Linked DNA regions of Schizosaccharomyces pombe. The gene in region 2 interacts genetically with the main gene of each other region. Each region holds a gene or a part of one and is shown on either strand. Other genes may lie near its edges. The genes, in order: nnr2, SPOM_SPCP20C8.02C and SPOM_SPBC3F6.01C.

Region 1 (11,011 bases), 1.4 Mb from region 2:
GTAGGCGCGCATATTTCTGCAGCTGGGGGCGTTTTTAACGCTCTAATCAATATGAAAAATATCAAGTAAGTATATTCTTAAAGCAATCAGCTTGAATATGTTGAGAAAGTGTACGTTAGGCTTGGCGTAATCGTGCATTATTGCGACTTGCAAACTGATTCACTAGTAGTTATTAGCAAATTGTTAGAGGATTTGCTGATGGTACGTCTATTTGTCGTTTTCAAAAACCATAGCTTATGCTATAAACTTTTCTCACATAATTTTGAAGGAGGTGACTGATGTGTGCAATAAACAAAGCTTATCTGCTAACGAAATTTTATATCAGTGCCAATAGTTGTGCTTTTTTTGTAAAATCACAAAGAAAATGGACCTCTCCGGATTTATCGGAGGATGTTGCTCAAAAATTCTTGGAGACAGCATCCGAAATGAAATTCGATGCGAGCAAACAGGTTCTTGTCCATGGAAGCTATCTGATTAACATGGCCAATGCCGATGAGCAGAAAAGAGAACAGGCATTCAATTGCTTTGTCGACGACCTGAAGCGCTGTGAAAGACTTGGTGTTGGTTTGTACAATTTTCAGTATGTCATTCATAGTGTGCTCTATTTACTTATATTTTACCCAAAACGTACTAACTCTTTTGATCTTTGTAGTCCTGGTAGTACTGCTTCGTGTACAAAGGAAGAAGGAATCAACAACTTAGCAGAATGCATCAATCGTGCGCACGAAGAGACCAAAAGCGTTATTATAGTTACAGAGAACATGGCTGGTCAGGGAAATTGTCTGGGAGGGACCTTTGATGACTTTGCAGCTTTAAAGTCAAAGATTAAGAACTTAGACCGTTGGAGGGTTTGCTTGGACACCTGTCATACATTTGCTGCAGGCTACGATATTCGCACCGAAGAGAGCTACAAAAAAGTTATTGACGAGTTTGACGAAAAGGTTGGAGCCAAATACGTGTCTGGATGGCACTTAAATGATTCCAAGGCTCCTCTTGGTAGCAATCGTGATTTGCATGAAAACATTGGTTTAGGATTTTTAGGATTAGAGCCTTTTCGACTAATAATGAATGATTCACGGTGGGATGGGATCCCATTAGTTTTGGAGACTCCTGCCAAATCTCCAGAGCAATGGAAGAAAGAGGTTGAACTTTTACGATTTATGGTAGGTAAATCATCAGATGATGTCGAATTAATGAAAGAATCAGCGCGTTTGTCCAATTTAGGAGCAGCATCCCGGAAGGAGCATTTGAATAAATTTGAAAAAAAAGAAGCAAAGAAGGATAGAAAGAAAAAAAGCAAGGATGGCGATCAAACTACTTTGTTACTCAGAAAAAAGCAAAAGCTTGGAAATGCAGAAGTTAAGAGCTTGGATGAATAAATTCATGTAACATGCAATTTAATGAAAGATAAATCAAGGGTACGATTTAAAAATCCTAAAATTTGATTCATGAATTGCATTCCCAGCATTTTATTATTGCCTTTATCCACTATATTATGTTTTGGCACAAATGACGTTCTCAGTTTCTTCATTTTTACACTGCCTATTTTGCAGTATTTATCATTTGATTCAGGAATTATTATCGAAAGCAACTTCGGCTCAATTGACTACTTTAAAGGCATCTTTTTGTTTCAATTATATCCATATTCTTCGAACACTGGAATACGGAATTTTTAATCATATAACGATACATTACTTATAATTTTATCATTTTACCATTTCCCATGAGCAACGCTGTTCAGTGCTGGACTGCTCTAACTTTCGTCCTTGCCCTACCCTAAAGTGCTAACACAACATGTGACTGTTCTTTTTGGGAGTCACTAAATTTCTCATTTTATGTTAGAAGAATCTCTACACCACCCAAAAACTCCAAGCATAAAAAGATGTCTACAGTCAAGGTCAACGGAGCTAAGAACGGCGGAGAACGTATGGTGTTGCCTGCCGGCGAGGCCGCCGCTAAATACTATCCTGCCTACCGTGAAAACGTCCCCAAGAAGGCTCGTAAGGCTGTACGCCCTACCAAGCTCCGTGCTTCTTTAGCACCCGGAACTGTTTGCATTTTGTTGGCTGGACGCTTCCGTGGTAAGCGTGTTGTTGTCCTCAGTCAATTGGAGGACACTCTTGTCGTTACTGGCCCTTACAAGGTCAACGGTGTCCCTATCCGTCGTGTCAACCACCGTTATGTGATTGCTACCTCTGCCCCCAAGATCGATGTCTCCGGTGTCTCTGTTGAGAAGTTCACCAAGGCTTACTTTGCCAAGCAAAAGCGTAGCGGACCCGTCAAGAAGGATGAAGCTTTCTTCGCCGAGAACGCTCCCAAGAACGCTCTTCCCGCTGAGCGTATTGCTGACCAAAAGGCCGTTGATGCTAAGCTTCTCCCTGCTATCAAGGCTATCCCTAATATGAAGGAATACCTCGCTGCTTCCTTCGCTTTGTCTAACGGTGACCGTCCTCACTTGATGAAGTTTTAGATTCATAACCTTAGGTAAATAGGTAAATCTATCTTTGTGTTGGCACTTGCGGGACTTCTTATTTATTGAAACTTTGGCATTTCCGGCCCTTGTAAGATTCCATCGAGTTGGTTATGCATGCGCTAAGTAGAAGAGCAGTGCACTGCACATATGTATCTAAAATTTTTATAAAATTGGCAAGTAGTTACTGAACATATTTTTTTGATTGTTAAAGCATATTGACTTCAGAGTGTAGTATAATGTATGCATTTGATATCATTTCGCTGAAGCAGATCTGATTCTTGTATATGTAATTTGGTGTATAATAACTATATAACTGTGGTTTGTTGGTTGCCCAGTATATATATGAAATGTAGTTAGCTATATGTTTAGCGATTTAGCTTTGTTATCGCTTTTCGTTACATTTGGAAATGTTGTAGACGCCGTTATTTCATTCACAACTTGTATCCAATTCAAGTTCAAGTCTGTGCTAAATTTTCTTGTATGCACATAACTTTCTTTTAGTGCATTAATACTATCCCAAAATAAATATTTGTGATCATCAATTTTCAATAGAAAAGCAATTTCCGTTTTGAGCGGCCATATAAAAGGCAAATTTCTCAAATGGTCGTTAGCAGAGCGATAGCAACTTATTATGAGTGAATTATCAACCTATAAAGGTAAGAGAAATTAGGACTCATTGCTCTGAGCTAACGAAAGCAGGATACTCGCCTAAACACGGAGACAAGGTTCCAGTGCTCCAGAACTTGAACGATTTAACACCTAAAGATTTTTATGATAAGTTCATTGCTACCAGGACTCCCGTCATCATTAAATCCTCCTTACCAGAGTCTGACTGGAAGGGTTACCTATGGCAGCAACAGGATTACTTGCTCTCTAAAATTGGTGATATCGTATGCAAGGTTGAGCCGATCGATCCTGTTTCTGGGACCTTTGGACAAGGTATGAGTCGAAATGAAATGTCCATCAAAGAATTTTTTCAAAAACTAAAAAATGGTGAACGACTTTATTTGACTACACAGTACGATGAATCCAACGAGGTTTTAGATGGAGATGATGAGGTTTCTCTTCTTGTTAAAAGTTTATGTCCTCATCCTACTGATGGTTTGCTTACCGACTTTTCAATAACCCCGGCATTAATGGGCAATTTGGTCCCCCAGCAATGCAATCTTTGGATTGGAAAAAGTGAGAACGGCACTTCTTCCGGTTTACACCATGATTTTCACGATAACATATATGCGGTCATTTCCGGATACAAGAGATTCGTAATTATTTCACCAGATCATGCAAATCAACTTAAACTCTCTGGAAAAATTTCAAAAATCCACCCTAATGGGTTAATTTCTTATGAAGGTGAAGATTGCCCTCAGCGCAGCGATGGACTCACTGAGCTTGATGCTGCAATTGCAAAAACACAATTTTTAGAAAAAAAAATTGGTTCTTTGAAAGAACTAGCGGTCCCTCAAGAAAGTATCGAACTATTGGAAGCTGAATATGAAAATGAGATGGACAGAGTTCTTCAAATGCAAATTGGCGGACCTGAAGAAGATTGGAATGATTTAGAAGAAGGAGATGCTGCTAGCTTGTTAGACGGATCAGTTGGCGGTGATCCGGAAAGTGATATTTTATTGAATGAAGGAAATGATATTGAAGCAACTAGTTTGCAGGATACAAAACCCGAATTACCTGATCATTTTACCAAGGTGAGTGTTAATGGATTGCATAAATTCATGGGATTTGATGATGCTAAGAATGTTGATGTTGATAAAGATGAGCTTTCTGCTCTTGCGGGGACAGTTCCTCTAGTGGTGGATTTAGAACCTGGCGACATGCTTTATTTACCAGCAAGTTGGTTTCATGAAGTCACCTCTTCAAGCGCTAGTTCTGGAGGTAGCGATGTACATATTGCATTTAATTATTGGTTTCATCCTCCCGATAATCTTGAAGACTTTGATCATCCCTACTTGGATCGCAACATTTGGCAAGCCAAGCGTCATCTTGTTGGAGAGGCAATTGATCAATTGTATGCTACTAACAAGAAAAACGAAAAACGACCGGCAGAAGACGATTCACCTTCTCAAAAGAAAACTTGTCAATAAAACACTTATTTATAAAACATTTAGAATTGAATAATTTTAAATTTATTAATACAAACCCTTGAAAATCCCTTGTACTAATGATATAAAAAAAAGTCGTAATCGTACTCCAATGACCCAAAAATTGGAAATTTTTGTACGTTTAAGAAAGACAATTGAAAAATGAAAGCATAAAAACGGGGATTTATAAAGATAAGAAGGATTTTTGGATAGCATACTTAGGTTCACTATTCTAAAAAAATTAATTGTAAATTATTCTGAGGGAGTTTCGACGGCTGTATCATGATTTTCAGTGGAAAGGGGGACATCTCTAATTATAACAAGTCCGGCAAACATAAATAAAGAGGCAACAAGTGAGATATGGAAAAGATCCTTCTCGGTGGCAGTATAAGCAACATTAATGATATTACGAATTTGAGTCCCTTGGGGGTATGACAGAGCAGTTCGTAGGTCCCGGAATATTGATTCAATTTCTGGGACAGGAAGATGATCTTTAAGGTCATGTAACAAACGACTTGAGAGCCTCTTACTCCATACGCCTCCTGCAATAGCAGATCCAAAGGCACCACCAACAGAAGAAAACGTTAAATACAACGTGAGATTCATACCTAATTTAGCATGTGACGATACTGACTGAACAGCAATTTGCGCACTTAACGTCAGTAACCCACCTCCCATACCAGCAAGTATAAGCACTAAAACTAGGGGACGGGTATAGTGGTTATCGTTAATACCAAATAAGATGATACCCAAAATCCCCAATACGTACATAGGAACAGAAATCATAAGCAACATCTTGAAGCGACCAAACCGCTTCATGAGAAAACCTGACAGGATAGCCGTCGTAGTCATTGAAAATACAAAAACATTAAGGGTAAGGCTACTCATGTCAATTGATAATCCATAAGAGACTTGAAGGAAAGAAGTTAAAAAATTTGAGAAAATATAATAAGACATGAAATATGTGAAAATTAAAACGCATGAACCAAGGATGGTACGGTCTTTCAAAGATTTTAAGGCGAAAACGGGATAGCGTGCATATTTGACGTCGTAGAAGCATAGGGTTACTAACAAAGCAATGGAGAGAGTTATAGTAAAGAGAGTTAAAATTGTTGAGTCTGGTGAAACTACCTGACTCGAATGGGAAAAAGGCAGCAACAAAAGCGTAAAGCCAGACACAAACAACACTATTCCAAGACCATCCAATTCCTGCCAAAACAAATAAAATAGTCTAAGTTTTTCAGGAGTGGAATGATTGATCAAGTTATGATGTTCTCTATATAAACCTGCAGCCTTGGCTTTTCTTTGGTTTAGGAAAAGCGAAGCCAAGAGAGGTAATGAAACTGTTGGTAAAATGAACGCCCATATACCATAACCCAATCTCCACCCATAATTTTTCTCAGGATGAAAGGCTTGAGCAAGCACTGGTCCAATCCAAACAGTTGCAAGATAGGGAAGTTCTGGGATAGCAGAGAGAATCCCCCGATTGAGTAGCGAAGATGTGTCTGCAATAATTAATTGAGATAACAGACCTAGCCCAGTTTGGCCGCATATATAGAGGATATATGCTACGGTAAACATTTGAATATTTCGAGAAAATGCCAATGAAAGATATCCCAACACTGTCATTCCTAATGCTAAACTAAGACTCTCCGAACGTCCAAAGACATCGGCAGCCTTTACCATTGGTGCTCGAACAACTGCTAAAAGAATATTGCCCACCAAATTGATTGTAGCCAAGTTTGAATGGGCGGAAAAGTTGCTGGTTGCGTATCTTTGCAAAGAATACGTAGTTTGCTGCTCTAATGAAGATGCAAATGACAACAAATAGAGACTAAAAGAGAAGACATTGTGTTAGCTTGATCATACCACAAACACAAACATTCAACAGATGTATGCAAACACTACGTGATTTATGGATTATCATGACTACAATACTAACATACCCAAGGTAAGCAACAATAATCGATCTTTTAGACCATGTTGAAGCAATTGCCTCAGCTTTGGAAACACCTTCTAGTGACAATTCTGAAGTACGATCATTTATGGGTCCAGCATTATCAAGCTCTTCTCTAAGGGGATGAAATTGCTGTTCTAAATTTTCGTTATTACGAAAACTCTTTTTACGATGCTCCATGCTTCCATAATTCTCAGTCATCCAGAGTGTATGGTAAATGGCAGTATGCAAAAGGTACGCCAACACAAATTATCAGATCGTATAGCAAATTAGAGTTTATCTAACCGAGATGTTTAATGAAGTTGGTAAACAATAATAAATAAAGACTGATGAAATGCAGACTAGTTAGTTAATAAGAGGTTTTTGGTTGCTTTAAGAAGCGGTTAAACTTTTTTAAATAATAGAAGAATTACACTTTGACCCTTTCTCCGAGGTTCAGGCTAAGCCGCCAATTTGATGTTCCCGCAATTAACTCCTCGAATTTATGAGTGATGGCTTCAATAGGGTATTCATTTGTTCAGAGTATTCAATTTAGTTTCTAGTCACACTTAAACATTTTGGAAGTATTAAAAATTACAGAGATTGGTAGCAGACGATTTTACAGCATGCTCGAAATAGAAGCATTAAGAAGAAATTGCAATATCACTCAGACTAATGAAATCCTTCTAAACACGAAAACATAATCTAAAGAATTGCTAGTAATATCACAAATTGCTGATAATTAGAAGGTGTTTACATTTATGGCAACAAAGATGAATGATCTAGCAAAAGAGAGTTTCAGACCAAAGAAAGTTGATGCTTTTCACTTTATAGATTACTCAAGTATCTACTTTAAACGGAAGTAAACAAGTTACGAAGGTAAAAAATTTCAAACATTTACAATCTTAAATTAATAAACCTATGCTTCAAAAAAAGACAGGAGTTACTCTTCTAATAACACTTCTTCACTAACTAGTTGTACTGGATGTTCTGTAACGAAAGAATGGACTGGGTTTGCAGTTTGGATAGTGTATCCAGCTCTCATAAAATTTGTTTGCTTTTTGCAAGCTAAACGTTTGACAATGGTTTTTCTTTTTCAACTTAAAGCACTTTATGCCCCATCAATTAGTCCTTCTTACTGGAAACTATATTTTTCTTGTCAGTTTGGAGTTCAGCAACTTGTCAACTACCCACCACTTTGGGAAGTGGTTAAAAATAAGCAATGCGGAATGACTGAGACTGGCAGAACCAGTAAATATCGTGTTGAAATTCAACAAATGATGTTCATTCTAGGGGAGGTGCAGGATCCTCTCCCAGAAACCACACAATTAGTCGAAGAGCTAATACGTGGACAAGTGATGGAGATGTTAATTCAGGCAAATGAGCTAGCTTTACGACGTGGCTCAAGATCTATTACTGTGGAAGATTTATTTTTCTTAATTCGCCATGATCGTGCAAAGGTGAATCGACTAAAGACATACCTGTCATGGAAGGAAGTGCGCAAGAAAGCGAAGGAGCAGGATGCCAATCCTGCCGATACAAAAGATCTTTTTGAGGAAGTAGATTCAAAAACAAGGTCAATGAATGCAGTTGCTATGCCTTGGGAAGTAAAAAATATGTTTACAGAGCCTGTACCGGAAACAGAAGAGTTTGAAGAAGATAACGATACGATGGAAATGGCATATGCGACGCGACAACGTCTTAAAATGGCAGATGAACGCACGAAGAAAATGACGCGTGAGGAGTATGTTCATTGGAGTGAATGTCGACAAGCCAGTTTTACTTATCGAAAAGGCAAGCGATTTCGTGAATGGTGTGGCATGTCTATTCTAACAGATACTCGCCCTGATAATGATATTGTAGATATACTTGGCTTCTTGACCTTTGAGATTGTGGCTACCTTAACTGAGGAAGCACTGGCTGTGAAAGATCGAATGGATCGGATTCAAAATAGCTCGGGTAGTGGAGGCTCTCATGCAGCGCATCATCCGAAAAATTGCAGTTTATTTGATGGACTTACTGAGGGGAGAACTCCCCTTCAAGTTTCTCATGTTTTAGAAGCTTTTCGTCGTTTGCAAATCCCCGATAAAACTCATACTGCTATGCGCAGTTTTCATGGGGGTTTGGTCAAATCTCGTGTGTATCTTATCTAATCATTTTCACTGTCTCTTCTTTTTTTTTAATTGCTGTAAGGCTTCCATTTACATCTAAATGCCCTGTTTTCCTGTAATTACCCATACTAGGTACGTATATGTTATTATCCCCATTACTGGTTCTCCTTGAAACAATATGGTTTAGATCTTACGAAAGCCCCTTTACTTTATGGAGATATTAACTACTCAATATATTTCATCACATTAGACTGTTGTCTTGCATCTCCGATTGAATTCATAATTTTATTTCTATCTTTCCACTAAGCGATATTCTTAATTGCAGCAGTGGTAGTATTTGGACTTTTGGATTTTTTAATATCAAATTTTTCTTATTATACTGGAATCTCATGATATCTGTGAATATTTGCAAATCTTCTTACCAAACTTCGTTTACTCTATACAAACTGCTGATTTTCGTAATGAACAAGGGGATCATCCTTTTGATATCGTCAGTGCGAAATTTTTAAAAAACAAAGGGTTTCTTTACGTTTTTTTTTTGTTTTCGAGAACATTTGAACTTCATCACTGAGCGTCATTTTGATCATACCTTCCACCTTAACATCATACATACGCCAACTCCAAGAATAACCGAACATTCGTATTCCGAAGCACTCACAGTACTTAAGAGATACAAAATTCAGGAATTTTAAAGACTTTTTGATTTATTATAATTGTAATTCTTTATAATTTTTTGCTATCCGAAGAATTCGCTCAACAAGATTACAACATGACATCTGGATCTCCCAAAATTACAAATTTGCTGACTCGTGTGAAGCGCATCATTCCACCACTTCTTGATACCTTCCACAAAGGTCAAGCCGGTCGAGTTGGTGTTTTTGGGGGTTGTCAGCACTACACAGGTGCTCCGTACTATTCTTCGATGTCGTCGATGCTCTTCGGCAGTGACCAAAGCCACATATTTTGTGAAAAAGAAGCTGCAAATGTCATTAAAAGCTATTCTCCTGATCTGATTGTTCATCCATTTTTACGTGAAAAGGACAAAGCTGGACCAGAAGATAGTGTCGATAAATGCTTTGAACTTATAAAGCCCATGATGGGAAGATTGCATGCCATCGTAATTGGGCCTGGATTGGGACGTGATGAATGGATGCAAGAGATTATGGCCAAAGTAATTGAGTATGCGCGCAAAAATGATATGCCTATGGTTATCGATGCTGATGGCTTGTGGTTAATTCAACAACGTCCCGAATTGGTTTCGGGTTATCATAATGTAATTTTAACACCTAACGTTATTGAGTTCAAAAGACTTTGCGACAAGCTTGACATTAAGAGTGACGGACCCGATGCTTGCAATCAGCTAGCTGGCAAACTAAATTTGCTCATCATTCAAAAAGGCCAATCCGATATTATTTCCGATGGCGCTACTGCATATGCTTGCTCCGTTCCTGGTGGTCTTAAACGTTGTGGTGGTCAGGGTGACATTTTAACTGGTATACTTGCTACATTCCTTGCTTGGAGACATGCTTATCTTAGCAAAGAATGGGATACAGAAGGTAATATGGATGCTAAAGAATGTCTCTTCCTTGCCGCATTTGGAGCCTCTGCCTGTACTCGCTGGTGCAGTCGTTTGGCGTTTAAGGAATGTGGTCGTGCAACTCAATCAACTGACCTGGTCAGACATGTGGGTAAAGCGTATAATGCGTTAATGGAGGATGAGATACCGTCTGTCGAGGAAAAAATAAAAGATTAAAAAAAAATAATATTTAAAAACCAAGAAGATAAAGGACCCTTAAACTAATAATTGACTTTTTTGCTTGTTTGTTCCCTGGAATTGACATTATTACCATGTTTTCAAGTCTTGGTTCAAATTCCCAAGCAAAGGGATACCTTAAACTTAGTTACTAGGAATGACTGAAACGAAAATACCAGATTATTAATGAAATAGCGTATTTAATTTTAAAAACCATGTTCAAAATAAACATTGCATAGTCGTTGGTATCATTGTTGTTGAGGAAATTTGATGTAGCTGTCACCGTTTTTATTTATTGTAACAGACAAGGGCAAGCAGACTCTTCTTTTTGATTCGTAATTGTCATTATTTACATTATCAAATTTAACGGAAATTAGTATTGTTCCTAAGTTTTACTATAAGACGATGTATCTATGAGCACGACAATAGCTTCGGAAACCAATTCAAACCTTCATATAATAGTTAAATTCTAATATTCTACGATTTAGATATCTAGATTATTAATCAATTCCTATCTTGACCTCAACGTTGTATTTTCATTCTACTGTTTTTCTTCTTGGAAAGTCATAATTGACAATATGGAATATTGAAATGCGTTATCAATTAAAAATGTTACTATTTAATTTGAAAAAAAGAAATGTGAGA
Region 2 (10,871 bases):
CCAAATAAGTGTACATTTATAACTAATAAAGCGTTATCTTGAAAATAAGTAGCATATGCATCATATTCGTCAAAATTTATATCTATGAGATAGAATAGTCTCAAAATATTATAGAGCAGACCCACACAATTATCATGAAAATGTGTTTTGCGGGTTTCCGAACAGTTGGGTCTCTTTTCAACACCTCTTTTCATCTCCTCTTGATGTAGCAGTCCTTCCGATATCTTACCTGTATCATAACGAACTACAGATTTGTTGATTCCATCTAAAATTGAAACATCATTGATTAGACGTACTTCAGCTTTACCATAAAAAGTACTAGTGTTAAGTTTTAAAACCTCTTCTTTTTTTTCTTTAATTTTATCGACCTTTGTCTTCAACTTTATAGAAATATCTGAAGACAGTCCGTATCTGGTTTCAGTGCCAAAAATGCAAAAATCAGTGGGAGATTGTATTCCATGAGGATGAAGTTTCTAAAAAAAAATGAAACATTGACCATTAACCTAATTGATACTTATAACATAACTTTTATAAACAAAAGAAACTTGGGTATCTTGTTCAAGTAGTATTTAAAATCGAACGAAAGATACTTACTTTTGTATATTCATTTTTCCTTAGACGTCATTTCGCTTGGTAGAAAGACTATATCTGTTTTACAGTACAGCCGACATAAGCGACGTATATTAGAATCCTGATGGACACAATACAAAGAGAAAATAGCTGATTATTACAAAAAAATTAATTAAATGAATTAAGCACAATATTTATTTGATTGAAAGTTGCTACTGTGACACGAGAATTGAAGCGTGACACCTTAGTAACGGCGCAAAAACAATCGAAGGGACGTAATTTAATCATTTAAATTATATCCATAAATAGTTCTTTTTCACTTTAAATTCAAACGCATCGCAAACTCGTTGTTTCAACTTGATATTCTCGGTGGGATTAAATGAATACTATAACCATTAAAATATTGAATACACTGTTCCTTCGTCAAATAATCGACGTCTTCATGTCTTTCTGACAATGGAAGTTTTAATTTTCCCGGTTCATCTCCATTAAGAAACGGTACTGGAAGATCCGGCTGACCATACTCTTGAGTCATATTTTCAAGTCTCCTCGTTAGCATGGTCAATTTGCAAGAATTATTATCATTCATAGTTTGCGTTTTTTGTTTCAAAAAATTTAAATTTTTTTCTCTTACTTTTTAAGCATTTCCTCATTTTTTTTGTTCAAGAAAATTAATCCTGTCCTTTATAGAGGAAATTTCACCCTCCATAAATGCATTCCATTTTGCATAGAGTTAAATTTAGATGCCATGCCTTCCTGCATAGACTCCATTTTAAAAAATACTTATTGGACGAAAATTCCTAATTCTCTATTTGTCTCTCTAAATTCATTGTGAATATTATACTTCTGCTCGGAAATTTCTCTTTCAATTACCAACTTTTCCGATCCTGTCCTTCAATATATTTTATCAAAATTTAATGGAACAAAATTTGCAGGTCTCTCAATTCTTATTTTTCTGAAAGGTATAAAGTCTTCTGAAGAATTATTTGTAGTATGAAGTTTACATCCACGCCAATATTTCTTCTGACATCTGCCTGACTAAATAACGAACGAACTAAAGTCCCATATAAGTGAATTTAATTTAAACTAGTTATAAGTACTATAGTAAATAATAATAATTTCGATTGTCTCGCATGTGCCAATCGGTATACACAGAATCGAGGAACACGATATAAAAAATTACGGCATGCAATTGAAATTAGTGTTTGATGTATATACTATATAGTAGCTCTAAACTTTTCAAAAGAAGAAAAGGGATTATAATACCAAAGAGATTATCTGCTGGTGTATGCATTTAGACAAGATGAGATAACTTTGAGCATGAATAATATATATTTGGCTACCTTTCATCCAAAATGTTGTCGTTTTATTTTGGGATGATAGTATAATCAGTCGTGCTACACGTAAAATTCTGATCGAAAATACCTTTAAATCTGTCAAATTTCTATTTATGGTTCTATAACTGGATATTGACAACAGAGAAGCGCATAGGTTGTTTTCGTACACTTAAAAATTTTATTTCTTAAAAGCCAGATAAGAACTATAAAATTTCTACTTCAGATATATTAATTTAAACTTTGAGTAGCTATCTAATGATATGAGATAGAAACTGCTAAACACTATGATCAATCCCAAAATATGCTTAACACCATTATCGGGTAGACGTACGAAGAGATAGTAGCTTAATGTGGTTGATTTATGCGAATATCACATATAGGGTGGATGTCTAATTAATTAGTTTTGCTAGGTTAAACTTTGAAAAAATTTAATTTGAATTAAATTTAATACTGGTAATTAAATACGATTCATTGCGCTTCTTAATCAATATGATAGCTATAAGTGAGTTCTTTATAAATTTGTTTGTATTTTTTTTTTTTAAAAAAAAAATTAAAATTTTAGAAAATACCTTAAAAAACCTAAGCAAACCTAAGCGAATTTCTATTGTGTACATCAACTTCAATTTATTTCCTATTAATTTCAACACAAACAAAACATTGTCAAGCATGACTTAGACTCGATGTTATAATTTTCATTATTGTTTCAGCACAAATAAGGGGACTGCTTGTATAAGTTGAGTAGCCTAAATGAAATTTTCTAAATTGTAAACATCTTCACAAACTGCTACCGACCAAATAATGACCCACTCTTACAGAAATTTAAACGATACCTATCTATTTTTTTAATTGCTCAAACAAATTATTTATCCACAACCTCATTTTTATTTGGAAGAAAATGAAAGATACAATAGAATTTTGAGTATATGAGACTAAAATCAATGTAAATAATTCCCGGAAAGCAATGATTAAAGAGCATGCAAATATAGAGACTTTTTTCTTGCAATATAAGCCATATTGATATTTATTTCCATGCTTATTTGTTTAGGATTCTAACTGTTATGCGAAATCAAAGTCCAACTTTTCATTTTTATTTGACATTATCTTGATGGACGATAGCTTGCTTAAATCGCTTATTTTCATTTCCATGTGTTACTTAAACATAAACTTCACGTTCAATACGATGGTGAGGATTAACATCAAGTACAAGCTTATTTATACTAGTAATTCGTTTGTTGTATAAACGAAGTATGAAGAAGTACGAAAAAGGCGCGATTCAGCTCAAAAGTGAGTTTTGGGCTTCCTTTCTTTATTAACATTATGAAATCGACTTTTACCGAACGGGCATTGCAAATGTGATACGAATAAAACCGAATACCTCGTTGGTTCATGATACAGTTGAAATGATTTTGGAACCCTTATCAGTCAAGATGTAAAGGATGAGTTCGATAGATAAAATATCTCAAGGTTTTACAACAGGGGAGAAAACCATTTTCAAAATTTCCCTCTAATGACTCCTACCGCTGATGCACTCTTTTTGAATGGTTTATCTTAGTAAAATTTAAATTCACTAACAGCTATGGAACTGTATCTATTAACGTAGATACCGATTATTTAGAGATTAAAATGTTGTAGAGCTATTTCCCAAATATAACTTTACACAGGATAGTTATTCTGAATTTTAGATCGTTACAAAGTGCTTTTTTAATCGTTTTCTGTATCTAAGTTCCTAAAGGTTCAATACATCGAATATGAATTTATTCAAGCTGTTGAATGTTACTGTAACCACAAGGATCTTAGCTCATTGTAATATGAGAGTTAGCGGAGATGTGCTTATATTCAATATGTTATCAGTCAATGAGGATGAATACGGACTAGCAAACCAAAGTTGCTTCCTTTTGATAAAACGTGTATTTTTGCTATAGAAGCACTAATCAATTACAGAAGCAGACCCTTATCCTGCCACTCACTACTCTCTTAACCAAGTCGTCAGAGGTGGTGACTTCGAATAGCCCCATTGGTAATAATGCGAACACATATTATATTAAGCTACAACAGAGAAGAGCTACTACTGACTATAAAAGCGAAAAAGTGATGTATAAATATCATAATAAGGACAAGTAAAAAACAATCTTCTACTAAGAGAAGATAAAGCAGCAAAAGATATAGAAATACAGACTCCTTAAAATGTGTGATACTTGTGTGGCACGTGTCCTTTTGACCACAAGCCAATCACTTTTTGAAGCCGTTCTTTCAACTTGACAGTCTCAAGAGGACTAAATTTATAAAACACCATACCCATGAAGATACTGAATACACTGTTCCCTTGTCAAATTATCAATGTCTTCGAAGCTTGCAAGCGGTGGGAGTTCATAGTCTCTAGGTTCATCTCCGTTAAGGAATGGTACTGGAACAGCCGAATAATGCATATTTGAACGGACCATATTTTCATATTTTTTTGTTAGCATCATCGACTTGCAAGAACGATCATCAATTTTTTGCATCGTTTGAGCCATATTATTAAATCTTTCTTCAGTTTTTTGATCCAAAAGATCGATTTTTCTATCTAATTGAGATATAGAACCTTTGATGGCAGTTAATTCGTTCTTAAAAGTAGTTGCTTTACCTTTGATGGAAGCAATGTCATTTTTCATGACAGTCATCTCATTGTACATAGCGTCAAACCTAGAATTCATGTCATTCTGCGTTGAGTTATTTTAGAAAATATTCGCTCGAAAATTCCTCCTAGTTTAGTATTTGCCCATTCGTCTATCCAGCGTGGAAACTGTAATTCTCCCAATGGTTCCTCCGGAACTTCCCTTTCTATCGCCAATCTCTTCCAATTTCGCAACTTTTGATCACATTCAGTTTCAAATCTATTTAATGTTCCTTTGCTTGACGAAAATTTTTCAATCGTTTCCTGATTATTCTCACCGAATTCTAGTAAAGCAGAATTTAGAGATCTTTCGAATTTCTTGATAAACGGTTGCAAGTCTTCTGCTGAATCATCTGGTGGAGGTAAGTCGAAACCATTTTCAAAATTCTCGTTTGACGTCGATTTTTAATCAATAATGAGCGTAGTCATTTTTTAGAAAGATATAGTGTGTTGTTCTAGTAAATGTTAACGCTGTTTATTAAAAGTTGGTAGAGTGTTTTAAACGTGTTGTTCAATATGTATCCAGGATCAAGAACACCAGATAAAAATACAATTACAAAGTTACACCAGTTTATGTATAAATATATATATAATTTTCAAAGCCTTTGGAACCCTCATTATCTACAATGAAAACAAAGCATGCAAAGGACCAAAAGAGGTAAACAAAGAAAAGAAAACAAAAATAGGGCCTTTAATAAGTAAGAACAATGAAAATGTCTAGTGGCGCAGATGTTTAGATAAATAGATAACTGCATTATATGTTTGCATTAAATAATTCCAGTTTGGAAATATAAGAAACTTATTCTAACCTGTACTCACCTATGTCAATTTTCTAAAGATAAAGTTAAAATAAAATAAAAATAAGTTTTTAACTTTATCTTCAGTTGTCTGGTGTTTCTTAACCTTCATCCCATGGGTATACAAAAATAAACAAAACATTGAAAGGAATTATATTATCACTCAAAACTGCTTTTTGCTAAGAATTTGACTCATTGTTGAAATTTTTTTCCTTTCGTTTAACAGGAAAAGATCAAAGATTATTGCTTTGAACATATTCCAACTAATTCCAAGTCGGTTAAAAAAGCGCTCCTATGATTTTAACGAAAGGTGCTGAGGCAGTGTTCTTCCTCTACGCAGTTTGGTTTTAGAAAGACGATACAATAAGATGCGCTGGTGTTTACCAATATCAAGTTGCTACATATAGTACCTGTGTATTGCAATATAATAGATCACAAGGAAAACTCACCGCGGTTCTAAGTATGTTAAACAGATACCAAACCGCGTAGCTAACACTGACTCCTCATACATCAAATGCCCCCGGCAACAACCGAGTTAGTCGCATGGGACAATTATCATGTAATATATCATTTCAAACCGTTAATATTGTTCAACTACAAAAATTAATTTAAAGGTAGAACTCAGTATATATACACTTTTTTTCGGTTAGTTTTATAAGCTAAACGGAGAAAGATATAACATTAGAACCTGACAGATCTTATATGTTATTGCTGTTTTGTATTTGTTGTGTATTCATAAAACTTGTCTTAGCTGAGGTGAATTTGACTTTTGTTGACTATGCTAAGCTGCCTCCCAACTATGCAGAATTACTTGCTAATTTAATTGACCAACATGGACTGATGCTATTTGATACAGCTGATGTACGAATTGAAGCTTACAACTACTTATTAAATAGCATTACAGAAACAAACACTGATACCGATGCTTACTTATGTCAACTTCTAACAGGTCAGTATACCACTGATTGTTATATATTTGGTGACAGTGTTTATGAAGGACCTGAAAATATCAATCCTTCAACCAGGTATATCGATTAAGGATTTGGACATTAGCTTTTGCAATGTACAAGGGGCGAATAAGAGACAAACCGTGTCTCTTGCTTCTTGTGGTGTGTTGATAGCACATCTGTACAATGTTCAATACAAATATGTCGATGATAGTCAAGCAAGTTGGTTTGTGACAACAACTACGGAGTTTCATGGAGTTGCATAGTAGGAGGTCAAAGCTTTCTAAGTTTAGGTTGTCTAGTAGAGAGATGTGAAGGACACTGTGCTGGTTCCGAACAGACAATGCAATGGAGCTGCAAAGTTAAAGGAGCTGGAGTCAATTCCAAGTTTACGGACTACTGCAAGAGAAGTCGTCCAACAGGTTGTACTCAGCTATTTAGGCAACGCAAGGTATATAGCGTATTTCCATTTATAGATATTGTCATTGATGATACCTACGAATGAAGTCACCAGCAATTTTATCTCAGGGTAGTAAATGGTGACTTTATTTGAGATCATGTTTAGAGCTTAGTGGTCTATGAAGTTGAACTAGTCCGACTCACAAACCAGATGAGATCGCCCGATTTGAGATGATTAGAATAATCTTAATTTTAAATGAGTGAATAATACACAGGATAAATGGTATAGGCAGGATTAAGAGATGTCAGTACTTGTAAAAACGAAGCGAGTAATTGGATAATAAATATGGGTTAAATAAATGTCAACTTAGACCAATAGTTAGTCAAGAATATACAAAACTCAATCTTTCCAAATTAAATAAATTGTGTTTATGTACGATAAAAGTTCCTTTTGGATATCAATGTGTAACATTACGTAAATGGGCAAATTTGCCATTTTATTTTTTATTCAATTTATTTAAATATAGTTTTCTTTAGAGGCGTTTCTATTCTATCTAGCATTTTCAAGCTAAATGACAATTGTACATATCAAGTATTATGTAGGAGTTTTTACGTATTTGCTTTGTGCAGTTTACCTATTATATTTGCTCATAGTAACTATTTAACAGCAGAGGTATATTTCAATGAAAGTATACTTGCTTGAGAGTTTCTTAAACACATTGTTTCAGGAACGTGAAAAAACTCTTTCGTCTTAAAATAATTGGGGGTATTCTATTAAGCTTTGTTTCTTTCATTAATTTGCAGAGGCTATTTCAATAACCAGTTTATATCCCTTGAGCATATATTGTAGCTACCGCTTATACAATCTACAAATTATCTAGCTTGAATGAGTAATGTGCTTTTGATTAAAACACCTTATGATTGCTACAAGCTGTTAAGCAGCCTTTGAAACGAATAAAGTAATCCAGGCTAACGAAATTTTTTGTATCAACATTGTTGGCCATGTTTGCTTTTATACATGTACTCCTCTATTCAATAAATCTAACTTTGTAATAAGTTACCTGCAAATAAGCCATTTTTCTTTTATTTTACAGATAAAGCCCATTTTCATTATCTGTATCACGTACTCCCAATGTGAAGTTACTTAGGTTACCTTGTTTCTTAATCCATCAAAAACTCTTTTCTTTGTCCTTAGCATTCTTTGTTTAAAGTTGTATATAAGGGGAACTTGAGAGATTTGAATTTACTTACAACACATATATTAAATATTGCTTTCAACACACGTTTGTACTTTTATTTTCCAAGATTTCCCTTTCTGAGAAATATTTGTCAATTAGTAAACATATAAGGCAGGCTACAAAAGATATCATTTGTATAGTTATAGTGAATTGCAATTTTATCGTTAAAAAGAATACTGCGGTTTATTGCAACTGGTTTTGTATAAATAATAAGGATGATGTCGAACGAGAATTTTGATAATGACTACAATCTGCCACCACCAAATGATTCTGCGGAAGATTTAAAAATTTTCATTAAAAGATACGAGAGATCTGTAGATTCTACATTGTTAGAAATTGACGAAAACAAAAGAGAAGCACTTGAAAAATATATTGAGGAACGAGATCGTAAAATGAAATATGAAATTGAATGCAATGAAAGGCTACAAGGATGGAAAAAGTTAGCGATTGAAAGGGAAATTTCTGAAGAACAATCGGGAGAAGTACAATTTCCACGCTGGATAGATGAATGGGCAAACACTAAACTAGGTGGAATTTTCGAACGAATATTTTCTAAAATGGACTCAATGCAAAATGACATGAATTCTCGGTTTGACGCTATGCAGAATGAGATGAATTCTCGGTTTGACACTGTACAGAATGAGATGACATCTATGAAAGGCGAAATGGCCGAAATGAAAGTTGAAATGGTTGAAATGAAAAGGGAAACGATCCGTTTGAACACTAGAATTGATTTACTCGAGCAAAAAACTGAAGCAAGGTTTCAGTCAATAGAGCAGCGATTTAATTCTATAGACCAACGATTTAATTCCATAGACCGAAGATTTGATTCTATGGAGCAGCGACTTGACTCAATGGATCAGAAAATGGAAACAATTGATGCTCGCTCATGTAGGTCGATCATGTTGACAAGAAAGCTTGAAAATACAACTCGTTCAGACCAAGGTTATTTGGCATAACCAGTGCCATTTCTGAATGGTAATGAGCCGGCTAATAGTGGATTACCGCCGATAGAAAGAGTCGAAGACATTGATGAATTATCAAAGGAACAGTGTGTCCAATATCTTAAGGGATATGGTATAATGTTTAGTCCTGCTGAAACTATTAAGTTGAAAAAGCGACTTCGTGATGCAGTAGGCTTATGGTCAAAAGCGAGTACTGAATATGAATTTCATCAGTTCCATTGAATTTATGTTTTTGTTCAAATATCTTGCTTTCTCTTCGTTTTTTATTGATACTTTGATATTTTATTGTATATTTTCGCTTTGATGTTTTATGTTTCGGTGTTAATAAACGTTTTTTAATGAAATTGATGCTTTATATAATTAGATGTCAATTGATCCCTTCTATCGTAAAGCTTATATAGTGAAAGACGTATATTTGCAATTAAGAGCAATTTATCTTGTCCGCGAAAAGGTTGACTATTTTACAAATTGTATTCAACAACTAACAAATCCCAATTTTTTTACCATAAATGTTACTTGCTAATATTTATTGTACAGATAGCTTTCCTTGCGATAGATATAACTTTATTTAGCGGAATATCTTTGTGGACTATATGAGATGAAGGTCTGGTTAGTGCCTGCAGCTGACAATACAGAAGACGATCACTACTCTAATAAGCTAACCGGATTTTTTTCACCGAAGTATAAATTTTTTTTGTAACTAATATTTTACAATTTATATTTTATTTCGTTCAAGAAATTCATCCGTTTTGGCATACAGCTTCCTATAATTTTTTATTTGTTGGTTTTGTGAAAACAAATATATGACTAGGTTTTTTCAGATCCCTGCATAGAGTCTAATGAAATTGAAAAAGAAAAATGAACCTTTTAAAGACCAATCAACACTTCTCCTTTTTCATGACAAAGTCTAAAGACGTCCATGATGTGATAACGATACTTTCACTTTCATTATGATACTATTATATTTACCCTTTTAGTAGTAAGTGAGCTCAATGAGAATATAAAATTTGAAAAGATATTCATGTGTGCTAACACACTTTTAATCCAATTCCTTGTTTGTTCGTAACATACCTGGTACACCAATCTTGCGCATAATGATACTGTAGACCGTAAGGAAATTGTACATAGTTGATGCATCAGATAGTTAACTAATAACTGTGCAAAGCATGAAATTAAAATGGGCCAGAATTTCGTAAATCGGTTAGCTTATTGCAAAAAAAGTAATAATATTTAACGAATTCCACAACATGTACTAAATAATAAATCCAAATTAATACGGATATTTGCCCTATGAACTTGTTCACATTTCGATAGGTGGTAATTATGTAAAATATGATCCATATTTTTTGTATTCGTGCGTAGTTATGTAATAGTTGGTAAAAGTGGTACTTTTGAAATACACATACTAATTGTAACCGAAAGAGCGAAACAGCATTATGAGCCTACAGATAAGATGCGATATTTTTTGCTCTAAAATATCGTGATTTGAAAAAAGAAAAGGAACTATTTTTTTGAGCTCAACTATCTTATGCAACGAACACAAAGAAACCCGGCCTAATTAATTTGACTTTTGATTAATAAAGTGGAAACAAGAGAGAAGAAGGAAAGTGAAATAATAAGGATAGAAATACTACAATTCAACTTAAATGCCATTTTTACATTGGCGGTCAATCATACAATAGTTAGGTGTGCTAATAAGCAATGGGGTTAAAACCTTTTGATCCTTATTCTGAATTTTAATTTTATTATGAATTCTTATGATATAAGTCATTTAGTGGAGACATAATCCATGCCTCAGTAAATCAGAACATGAGCAAGTGTGAAGTTCGAGTGGCGACATCCAAAGAAGTGCTCATAACTGTTCTTGTGCTTGGATTTAGTTTCTGATGAAAAAAATCGGCAAACCGTTGCTGCAAGGTTGGCAAAGTTAAACGGGTAATTGTGGAAACGCTTAAGAAGAACGAG
Region 3 (11,011 bases), on a different chromosome or scaffold from region 2:
TGTAAAAATAACTACGAATCAAAAAGCCATGTATCTATAGTAAACAATAATTGATAAGATACTCCTAAAATTATTGGATAAACAAAAGAAAGGAAAGGAGCATACAAAATGCATATGAATACCAAAAAGGGAAAAGGGAATCAGTAACTATTCTAGATTAGTTCTAATCGGTATCTTCCAATTCTTCAAGGTAATGCATAGCCAATAAAGCTGCTTGACAACCACTTCCAGCAGAAGTGATGGCTTGGCGGAAGACCTTATCTTGAACATCACCAGCGGCAAAAAAGCCAGGAATTGAAGTACGAGGAGTTCCATTAATAGTTTTAATGTAACCGGCTTCATCAAGCTCAATTTGTTCAGCTACTAACTTAGTAGCAGGGATATGTCCAATAGCATAAAAGAGTCCGTTAACCTGAAGATCAGAGACTTCATTCGTGTTGGTATTCTTGATACGAAGGTTATTGAGCAACTTGCCATCGCCTTGGGCCTCCTCAGCAACGGTGTTCCACAAAACTTCCACCTTAGGGTTAGCCAAAAGACGCTTGGCCATAATGGGAGAAGCACGAAGCTTGTCACGGCGCACAAGGACATAAACTTTGCTACCATACTTTGTTAAAAACTGGGCCTCTTCGGCAGCAGAGTCACCACCACCAACGACAGCAAGAGGCTTGTTACGATAAATGGGAACGGCACCATCACATACAGCACAAGCAGATATACCTGCTTGCCAATAAGTATCCTCACCAGTAATGTGAAGGCGACGAGCGGAAGCACCAGTAGCCAAAATAACGCTGTCAGCGGTATGAGGCTCTTCCTCTTCAGCACCCTCCAACCAGTACTTGAAAGGGCGAGAAGAAAGATCTAATTTGGAAACAGTCTCGGTAATAATTTCAGTTCCAAAACGCAAAGATTGAGCGCGGAAGTTTTCAGTAAGGGTAGTACCATTGATACCATCGGGAAAACCAGGAAAGTTTTCGACATCGGTGGTAGTAGTAAGCTGACCACCAGCAGCAATACCGTTGGCAAGCATACCTTCGTACATTACGGGCTTAAGCTCACCACGGGCGAGATAGATGGCTGCAGTATGGCCGGCGGGACCAGACCCAATAATAACAACCTTGTTGTGAGTCACTAATGAAGTCAGTAAAATTAAAAAAACAAAACAAAAAAAGATAAACGTTAATGTTGTAAGGCGAGAAGGATAGAAAAGCTGAAAGAACACAAGATAACCATTATCGAACAATGATAAAAAAACAGATGAAACCCAATCTTACACGTGAGTTCGGAAATAAAAAAGTTTCCTACTAATCAACAAAAAAAAAGAAAAAAATTCATCACCGAATTAGTTTTATTTTTAGGTAATAATTTTTTTTTTGTTGGGTTCGACTTCATCGCCGTCACATTTCCTGCACGTTTTTCGTTTCACTTACTATTGATATGAGTATTTGTAGAGAAATATGTTTGTTTTAAAGGGGAATAAATAGATCCTAACTTCAAAGATTTCTTAAAAGAATCGGGTATGCCTTTATAGAAGCTAAATTTCTGATAAGGAAAGAATGTCCTGAAGTATCGAAGGAATGCGATATGGTGGTAGTGGGTAAATTGATTCTTATATAGAGCCCTGGGAAATGGTGTGCTTACTAGCGATGAATAATGAGACTCGTTCGAGACATTCGTAAAAGTGCGAACGCTTAGATTAACAGTGGCAGAACGAGACACCGATATCGCGTAAGCAAATTTAATGCCAACATGGTAGAAGAGGGTATAGGAATGTCGAGAATTAGTGAGGCCACGATAAATGGACGAACCACCAAAGCCATGAGTAAGCGACGCTTTGTACATGAAAGACGACTGACCTATGCTAGTACAATAGAAAGAACTCGACAAGAAAAATCCACGTTTTTGTTAGTTAAGAGTTTAAGCCTCCACAATCCAAACAAATTGTCAAAGAGACGCGCAGAAAGCAAAATTCTCAATGTAGCCGTGCTGGGCTACTTGCCTTACTAAGGTTTTAACCAAAAACAAGTATGATTCAAGTGCGATTGGTGTAGCCTAGAAAAAACAATTGCGAAAAGTAATTTCAAGGAAACAAATTTTAGTCGTTTACAACCCAAAAAAGAAAAATTTGCTGTTCCTGCGATCAACACTGCTTAATAATTTATTTATTAAGGTTACCAACGAGGAAAAATGTTTTACGCTGAATATTGTGATTTGATAAAAGGTATAACGATAGAATTTATAAATAATAAATTGGTTTAACGTTCAACGAAGAAAGTACGAAAATTGGGTTTTGGCTGCTATCAACATTATCGAGCTTTAAGGTAGCACGCAGCATTGCTTTACAATAGGCCAGTTTTAGATGTGAACGGTACGAGGTCGGGAGGTCATCGTTTTCTTGTAATGGTACTCGAGATGTTACTCACTTAATTTTTCTGTTTTCTAAGTGCGTACTACATATTGTACTAATAGAGTTTCAATCGGCTACTATCCTCTAACCCATGTTCCATATTCAACAGCTGCTCTCTTTCTCGCTAATCATGGTTAGTGTATTGCATCTAGCCTACACCCCAAAAACACAGGTAGCAAATAAGCTCACTCATTTCTCGATATGGTGTAACGTCGAATACCTGGCAAGAACCAGACAATCGTTTATTCTTGTATTTTTTTAATGCCGATGAATTCCGTGTTAGTTATTGGAAGTGGATTTTTAGGAGGTCATATCATACGGCAGCTGTGCGAACGTGAAAATCTTCGAATTGCTGCATTTGATCTCTTTGAAAATGAAAAGTTGCTACACGAGCTTCATGGTCAATTCACCATGTATACGGGTGATTTAACGAAACAAGGTGATATTGAGCGTGTTTTTGAGGAATTTCATCCACGCGTAGTTATTCACACTGCTTCACCTGTGCATAACCTTGCTCGTGATATTTACTTTGAAGTGAACGTAGATGGCACAGCGAATATCATCAAAGCATGCCAGAAATTTAATGTTGATGCCCTTGTTTATACTAGTTCCGCAGGTGTAGTTTTCAATGGTGCTGACCTTATCAATGTGGATGAGTCCCAGCCCATCCCAGAAGTTCATATGGATGCCTATAACGAGTCCAAAGCTTTGGCAGAAAAACAAGTCTTGGAGGCAAGTTCTGAATCTTTAAAAACTGCTGCCCTTAGAGTTGCTGGTTTATTTGGTCCAGGTGATCGCCAACTCGTCCCTGGTATGCTTTCTGTTTTAAAGAATGGACAAACCAAATTTCAATTGGGTGATAATTTGAATCTTTTTGATTTTACCTACATCGAAAACGCTGCCTATGCTCATCTTCTGGCTATGGACAATTTACTTTCTAGTAATCCTACTGCCAATGGCCAAGTCTTTTTCATTACCAATGGACAGGTTATTTACTTTTGGGACTTTGCACGTGCTATTTGGGCACATGCAGGACACGTTCCCCCTTATATCATCAAATTCCCTAGACCGGTGGGTATGCTCTTAGCCACTGCTGCTGAATGGGTTTGTTATTTCTTGAAAAAGGAACCTGGCTTTACACGTTTCCGTGTCCAATTTAGTTGTGCTAACCGTTACTTTAACATTCAAAAGGCAGAAGATGTTTTGAAGTACCATCCCATTGTGGATTTGGAGGAAGGAATTCGTCGTACTTTGGCTTGGATGGATACTGAGAAAAAACATTAAATTGAGCCATTGGCCTTGTTATTCTTTAAAAGAATATTTAATTTTTAAATTCTAACGCTTCGTAGTCTTTTTTCATTTCTACATAGTTCACTTTCTTCTCGATGAGTTCTACCTCTTGAGCATGTCGATACGAAACAGTTTTTTTCCGCTTTGGAAATTGTTAATGACTTATATCATCATTTCATTTGATAGATGATTGCTCAGATCTTAAAAAAGGAAAAAAAAATATTTGGGTATCTTGGAATATAGACAAGATCGAATAACATCAATATAACGTTCTCTTTGTACTTTCTACTCGTTGTGCTTGAGACGAGAAGGATACAGCTCGTTTGCTTTTGTTATCTTTCTTTGAACTATACGAAGATTGTCCGGTATCACTTGTGTTTAGAAAACAATGGTTATTTCCTTTACATAATGATTGCCTTGTAAGTTTTTCTCATCTGAGATGTATTGATGTATTATAAGTTTCGAGTCATTTTATTTCGTAGATAAATGAATAGACACACTTCATAGAAACTGCTTTTATTACGCTTGTAAGTTTTTGAGATTTCTAATGTAAAACATTGTGTAAATTCTGTATTTATTTTTTAATATGTATGCTGCGTTGCAAAGTTTGCATTTATAAAGCCATTAATTTGTTGTTCTAAAAATATCATTTTGATCTTTGAGAATCCTAAATATCTGTTTCTTTGTAGCCCAATACTACCAATTATTAAGCTGCATTGTTCGGACAGATAAAAACTTTTTTAGCTACTATCAACCACCAAACAAAAACTCACAAGGGCTTGAATTTGTACTTTTTGCTCAATAAAATGGCTAAAGAAGCATTGGAATTAAAAAATGAAGCCAACAAGTTTCTAAAAGAGGGACATATCGTTCAAGCTATAGATTTGTATACAAAAGCCATTGAGCTTGATTCTACAAACGCAATTCTTTACTCCAATAGATCTCTTGCACATTTAAAGTCAGAGGATTATGGTCTGGCAATCAATGATGCTTCCAAAGCTATTGAATGCGACCCCGAATATGCAAAGGCATATTTTCGTCGAGCTACTGCTCATATTGCTATTTTTCAACCCAAAGAGGCTGTCGGTGACTTCCGAAAGGCATTGGCACTAGCACCCAGTGATCCAGCTGCTCGTAAAAAGCTTCGTGAATGTGAGCAATTGGTCAAAAGGATTCGTTTTCAGGAGGCTATTCATAATACTGAACCTCCTTCACCACTTGCGAATATCAACATTGAAGACATGGACATTCCTTCTGACTATGATGGTGTAATATTAGAAAAGCAAATAACGAAAGAGTTTGTTGAAGACATGAAGGAACGCTTTTGCCAAGGTAAAAAACTCCCCCTAAAATTTGCATATAGCATATTGCGAGACTTAAAAGAATTACTTGAAAAAACTCCTTCTTTAATTGACATTCCTGTTAAAGGGGATGAGACATTGGTTATCTGCGGTGACACCCATGGCCAGTATTTTGACTTGTTAAACATTTTCAAACTTCATGGTCCTCCAAGCCCTACTAACAAATATTTATTCAATGGTGACTTTGTCGATCGTGGTTCGTGGTCCACTGAAGTCGCTTTTACTCTTTATGCATATAAGTTATTATATCCGGACGCTGTTTTCATCAATCGCGGTAATCACGAAACTGACGATATGAACAAAGTCTACGGATTCGAAGGTGAATGTCGTAGTAAGTATAATGAGAGGACATTTAATATTTTCTCGGAAACTTTTTCTCTGCTACCTCTTGGTTCCCTAATTTCCGATTCTTATCTTGTTGTACATGGTGGCCTATTTTCTGATGATAACGTAACATTAGACCAACTACGAAACATTGATAGATTTAGTAAAAAGCAACCTGGACAATCTGGGTTAATGATGGAAATGCTTTGGACCGATCCACAACCTGCTCCAGGACGAGGACCATCGAAACGTGGGGTGGGTTTACAATTCGGCCCTGATGTTTCAAAACGTTTTTGCGAGGCTAATGGTCTTAAAGCAGTGATCCGTTCTCATGAAGTCAGAGATCAAGGCTACGAAGTTGAGCACGATGGTTATTGTATTACTGTGTTTAGTGCTCCTAATTATTGTGATAGTACCGGAAATCTTGGTGCCGTAATTAAAGTTAAGGAAGACATGGAGTTGGATTTCCACCAATTTGAAGCCGTTCCCCATCCTAACATTCGCCCAATGGCATATGCCAATGGACTGCTAAGTGGTATGTGATGGGAGACTGCAAGCACTGTTCTCAGTGTTTGCACCCACATTTTTTTAATTTTCTGGTTTTTGAAAAAATTTGTTCCACAGCTATATGATCCAGTTAAATTATTTTTTGAAGACTTGGTTGTTTGGGTTTTTATGAAGTTACCGTCGTTCAAAAAAATAATGCTATTTGTATGTTTAATCTTTAGCTTAAGGATTGGTTTCGATACCTGGATGGTTAGGAATTCCCAAATGTTAATTCCTGATTAGCTACTCTTTATTCCAAAAGTTCCATTTCACGTTCTTTGTACAATAAAAATATAAATAATGTTTAAGTTCATATGAACAATGAAGTAAATAAAACAATTGATCCTTTAATATCGCACTGATTTAAAATGCTGTCTTCTTATTATTATTACCCTCAAAATTCACTGCCATCATAAGTCATCAATGTGTCTTCTACTTTAAACACTGTACTTTATTTTCAAGTAACAGTTCAGTCCTTTACTTGTTTGTTTATTTTCTGTTCACAACTCATTTGCTTATATATATTTTTTTTCGTTAATGACAAGATCTCAATAATAGTCGAAAGGTAATTGCATCGAATTTTGGATATACGGGATTTTCATGTCAGCAGCTGATTCTAATATTTTCAACAGCTACTTGCATTTGACAGTAGATATTACATGTATATATAGACAGTTTTACCATCACGCTATTTCTTGTGGACTTGGTGAATTGCCATTCTCGATTAACTTGTGCATATACTATCCGATATCAGATTTAAGATAGCGAGGATCGACATGGAGAGTTAATACTTTAAACCATGACGTCATGCAATGTATGGTTGAGCTGTTTCAACACCAAAAATTTGTACTATCCATCAACAAGTCATACGCGTTGAAACGATCTTTACCCTTTGACATCCCTTCTTTTAGAGATATTCAATTTTTACCGTTTAAATAGTTTTCAATGGCATCTGAGCGCGATCCTCTTCTGCCAGTGCATGGCGAGGGTCCGGAGAGCCCTTCTCGTAGAAATTGGAAAACTTGGATAAAACATGGAATTCTGTTAATCCTTGTTTTATCAACCGTTATATTTTTTTATTTTTTCTCGTCTCATAAGTCCAAAGGGACCAATGAGAAACCAAAATTTGTTATTATGATGGTTTCTGACGGTAAGTGATTGGAGTAAGCTCTCTCATAAATCCGTTGCTCTTTTGAAGGAAAATGATTTTTTTTATATTTAGAGCACTGGGACGGAATCTTCCTTTTTTTTACAATATTTCTCGGTGACTGACTTTTTTTAAAGGAATGGGACCTGGCTCTTTGTCTATGACTAGATCGTTTGTAGAGACTCTAAACGATAAAGAGGGTTATAGGCTTCCCTTGGATGAGCATTTAATTGGCAGTTCACGGACACGTTCCAGTTCGAGTTTGATTACGGATAGTGCAGCCGGAGCAACCGCATTTTCTTGTGCTAATAAAACCTACAACGGAGCTGTTGGTGTTTTGGATAATGAAAAACCTTGTGGAACTATCTTAGAGGCTGCTAAAGAAGCCGGTTACTTAACCGGAATTGTTGTCACAAGCAGAGTTACCGACGCTACACCTGCCTCTTTCTCTGCTCATGCCGCGAATCGATTCATGCAAGATTTAATTGCTGAGTACCAAGTCGGGATGGGACCTTTGGGAAGGAGTGTTGACTTATTGTTCGGTGGTGGACTTTGTTCATTCTTACCTAAATCTACTTATCGATCATGTAGATCCGATAACTTGGATCTTTTGAAATATGCTAGGAAAAAAGAAGGTTTCCAAATTTTGCTTAATAGAACTGACTTTGATGAGCTATCAAACGCTCAATTGCCTTTGCTTGGTTTGTTTTCTGATTATCATCTCAGTTATGATATTGATTATCAGCCTGAAGTGCAACCTAAGCTTTCTGAAATGGTAGAGACGGCTTTGGATGTTTTGCTCAACGCCACTAATGAAGATACATCTAAAGGATTTTTTTTGCTCATAGAAGGGAGTAGAATTGACATGGCCTCTCACAACAATGACCCTATCGCTCATGTTTACGAAGTTATGGAATACAACAGGGCCTTTGAAATAGCAAGTGCATTTGTAGAAAAGAATGGAGGATCTTTAATCTCTACATCGGATCATGAAACTGGTGGTTTGACTGTTGGTCGCCAGGTCTCCAAAAAATATCCAGAGTATTTATGGAAGCCGCAAGTCCTATCTCTTGCTCTCCATTCTATTGAATATCTCGCTTCAGCTATCGTGAACCATAACCAAAATACGTTGCTTCCTTATATTGAACAGTTTGTTTTACCCGCAATTGGCATTCCTGACCCTAATCCAAAGCAGATTCATGACATATACGTGGCCCGGCATAATATATTTAATCTTATAAACGTGCTTAGTGATATTGTTAGTGTAGAAGCACAAATTGGCTGGACCACTCACGGCCATACTGCTGTCGATGTAAACGTTTATGGAGTAGGAGAGGTCACTGAACATCTTCGAGGAAATATGGAGAACATTGAAATTGGACAGTTTATGGAGATATACTTAAATGTTTCACTAAGCGATGTAACTGAAAAGCTCAAAGATGCTCCCATACATGGTGCCCCAGATCGACCTAGTTTAGTGGAAACTTCATTTTCCGATCGTCTTGTAGGTTTCGGTGCTGATTTGTTTTAAAGCCTTTTAATCAAGATTGCCATAAATATATAATTTAGAATACTCTCATATATGCTCAGCTTATTTAAATCGCTTAATTATGGCATTCAAATTCTTTTTAAGTTAAACCTATTTTACTTCTTATCTTTTACTTTATTTAATTTCCACTGTGGTTGAGATATCCAACAATTGCGATTTAAGAGCAAACGAATATTACAATTATACATACAACTTGTCGCAATAAAGATAGTTAACATATCCATAACGAAAATATTATAATAATATTATAATAACAAACACGTTAATATATCAAATATCACAAACATATCGGGATATCATCCATATCATCCACGACAGCCGCGATTACCTCCCTTACAACGATTTTTTCGTAAACTTGAGAGAATGCCTCCATTGAGGCGTCAAGCGTTGACTTTAGCTGAAAAAAAAGCAATTAGAAAACATTATTTTGAGTCAGCAACTAAACCTTCGCAACAAGAGCTTATTAGTTGGTTCGAGGAGCACTTTCATAAAAAGCTAGCACAATCTACCGTTTCGTCAATTCTATCATCAAAGAACGAATTTTTAGATAATCTAGACGCAGAAAACTCTCAAATAAGAAGAAACCGCCAAGGAAAATATCCTATCTTAGAAAACGCCCTTATTGACTGGCAAACGAGGTTGCAAAAACAAGACGGAGCAATTACTGGAAACGCCATCAAAAAAAGCGCCGCAGAATTGTGGAGACGTATACCGGAGTACTCTGAGCTTCCGATTCCAGAATTTAGTAACGGTTGGTTAGAGAAGTTCAAAAAGCGTTGTTTAAAACACGGCCTTAAGTTACAGGGTGAATCTACTTCAGTAAATCAAGGAACGTATGAGGAAAACATGGTTCAAATACAGGAATTAATAAGTCTTTTTGATCCAAAAGACATCTTTAATATGGATGAGACGGGGCTATGCTGGAAACTTATTCCCAATCAATCTCCTGCGAGTGAACGAGTAAAAGGAATTACGAGAGATAAGGCTCGTGTCACCGTCACTATTTGTTGTAATGCTACAGGTTCTGAAAAGGCCCCTCTTTGGGTGATTGGATATGCTAAAAGTCCAAGGGCCTTTCGGCAAGCAAATGCTCATCCTGATTCCATGGATTTTCATTGGCGATATAATGGAACCGCTAGGATGACCACTTCCATTATGGAAGAATGGCTTCGTTGGTTTGACGATTTGATGAAGGGTAGGAAAGTTCTACTTATACTGGATAAGTTTGTCGCTCATGAATGCGCTTTGGAAAATATTCGCAATTCCGAGCGAAAGTTGGTAAACACGACTGTTGTTTTCCTTCCTGTAAATTCTACAGAAATTTACCATCCTTGTGGCCAAGAGATAGTCTACGCTTTTAAATCATACTACAGAAAATACTGGCTTAATTACATGCTTGAGGAGATTCGATTGGGAAAGAACCCCAGTAAGACAATGAATGTACTAAAAGCAGTTAGATGGATGATTCGTTCTTGGAACGTTGACTTTGAACCATCTATAATATACAATTGTTTCCTTCGTTCTGGGCTTTTTCAAAATCAGCAACCACTGACCGGTCCTTCTCCAGAAACCATTAGAATCGCGGTGAATTTGCAAGAATTGATAGGAAAATACCTTGGTGATAAGGATATTTTCCAAATCGAAAATTTTATTAACCCTATTGAAGAAAATTCTGCTGACACTAATGACGATATCGTTAACCAAGTTGCTGCTCAATTTCTTGATGAACGAGAGTTTGAAACCGATGAAGAAGAGGAAGAGTCACAGTATTTGTTATCAACAAAGGATGCGATAAATGCCATCAATACTTTACTAAACTTTCAAGAGCAATCGGAAGATGGAAATGTTTTGTTTACTCGAACATTACTTCAGTTTCAAAAGGTTTTAGAAAGCAGATCGATTGTGTAAAGGTTGTGGGAATTGGAAAATTTGTTTCTAACGAAAATGTACACATTTTCTATACTTTTAAATAATTTTTATAGAATATAAGAAAGATAAATAATTACAGTGAATTCTTAAAGGTTAACTACTAGACGTACTATTTCAATTAATGTGAGATTCGCGCTAAAAGCGTTTATAAACTCAATAAGATATATTGATAAAATAATAAAGTGAAGAATCAATTGTTTAAATTACGAAATTGAATTGGGACAAATTTTTTGTTTTGCGAAAAATAAGCATAGCGCAATGCATTAATCAACACAGTATGACTGTCTGTACTTGTCAACTCCAAACGCCATTATTCAGCATTGCAATTGAAATTGGACGTTGTGAGAAACAATTGAATGGATTTTTTTGAAGATAATAATCCATTCTCTGGCTCTGACAACAGAAGCGCCTCTTCTGCTGTCAATGTAGAGCCAAAAGTTGAGCCATCACAGCACCAG

Evidence for each region.
Region 1: mutations in SPOM_SPCP20C8.02C (region 2) and nnr2 together harm fitness more than expected from each alone (negative genetic interaction), as found in Schizosaccharomyces pombe (one large-scale study listed by BioGRID).
Region 3: mutations in SPOM_SPCP20C8.02C (region 2) and SPOM_SPBC3F6.01C together harm fitness more than expected from each alone (negative genetic interaction), as found in Schizosaccharomyces pombe (one large-scale study listed by BioGRID).

Annotation. Positions count from the first base shown.
Region 1 is NC_003421.2:1,435,271-1,446,281, forward strand, and holds nnr2 (NADHX dehydratase Nnr2), read left to right. Parts: upstream 1-9,218; 5' UTR 9,219-9,382; coding exon 9,383-10,366; 3' UTR 10,367-10,612; downstream 10,613-11,011. Other genes in the region: apn1 (AP endonuclease, minor transcript), read left to right, coding at 2-65, 326-580, 653-1,379; rpl6 (60S ribosomal protein eL6), read left to right, coding at 1,883-2,470; histone demethylase Jmj4, read left to right, coding at 3,105-3,129, 3,173-4,569; siderophore-Fe(3+) transporter Str2, read right to left, coding at 4,819-6,400, 6,513-6,724; SAGA complex subunit Spt3, read left to right, coding at 7,732-8,655.
Region 2 is NC_003421.2:26,709-37,579, reverse strand, and holds SPOM_SPCP20C8.02C (uncharacterized protein), read left to right. Parts: upstream 1-6,059; coding exon 6,060-6,395; 3' UTR 6,396-7,019; downstream 7,020-10,871. Other genes in the region: SPOM_SPCC1884.01 (uncharacterized protein), read right to left, coding at 1-411, 595-608; protein new22, read right to left, coding at 923-1,159; SPOM_SPCP20C8.01C (uncharacterized protein), read left to right, coding at 8,157-8,900.
Region 3 is NC_003423.3:4,180,387-4,191,397, reverse strand, and holds SPOM_SPBC3F6.01C (serine/threonine protein phosphatase), read left to right. Parts: upstream 1-4,439; 5' UTR 4,440-4,503; coding exon 4,504-5,925; 3' UTR 5,926-6,799; downstream 6,800-11,011. Other genes in the region: thioredoxin reductase Trr1, read right to left, coding at 164-1,131, 1,431-1,431; erg26 (3 beta-hydroxysteroid dehydrogenase/delta 5-to-4-isomerase), read left to right, coding at 2,669-3,691; pho8 (alkaline phosphatase), read left to right, coding at 6,874-7,078, 7,213-8,606; cbh2 (CENP-B protein 2), read left to right, coding at 8,988-10,532; sorting nexin Snx41, read left to right, coding at 10,910-11,011. UniProt on the Schizosaccharomyces pombe protein: Protein phosphatase that specifically binds to and dephosphorylates the molecular chaperone Hsp90. Dephosphorylation positively regulates the Hsp90 chaperone machinery.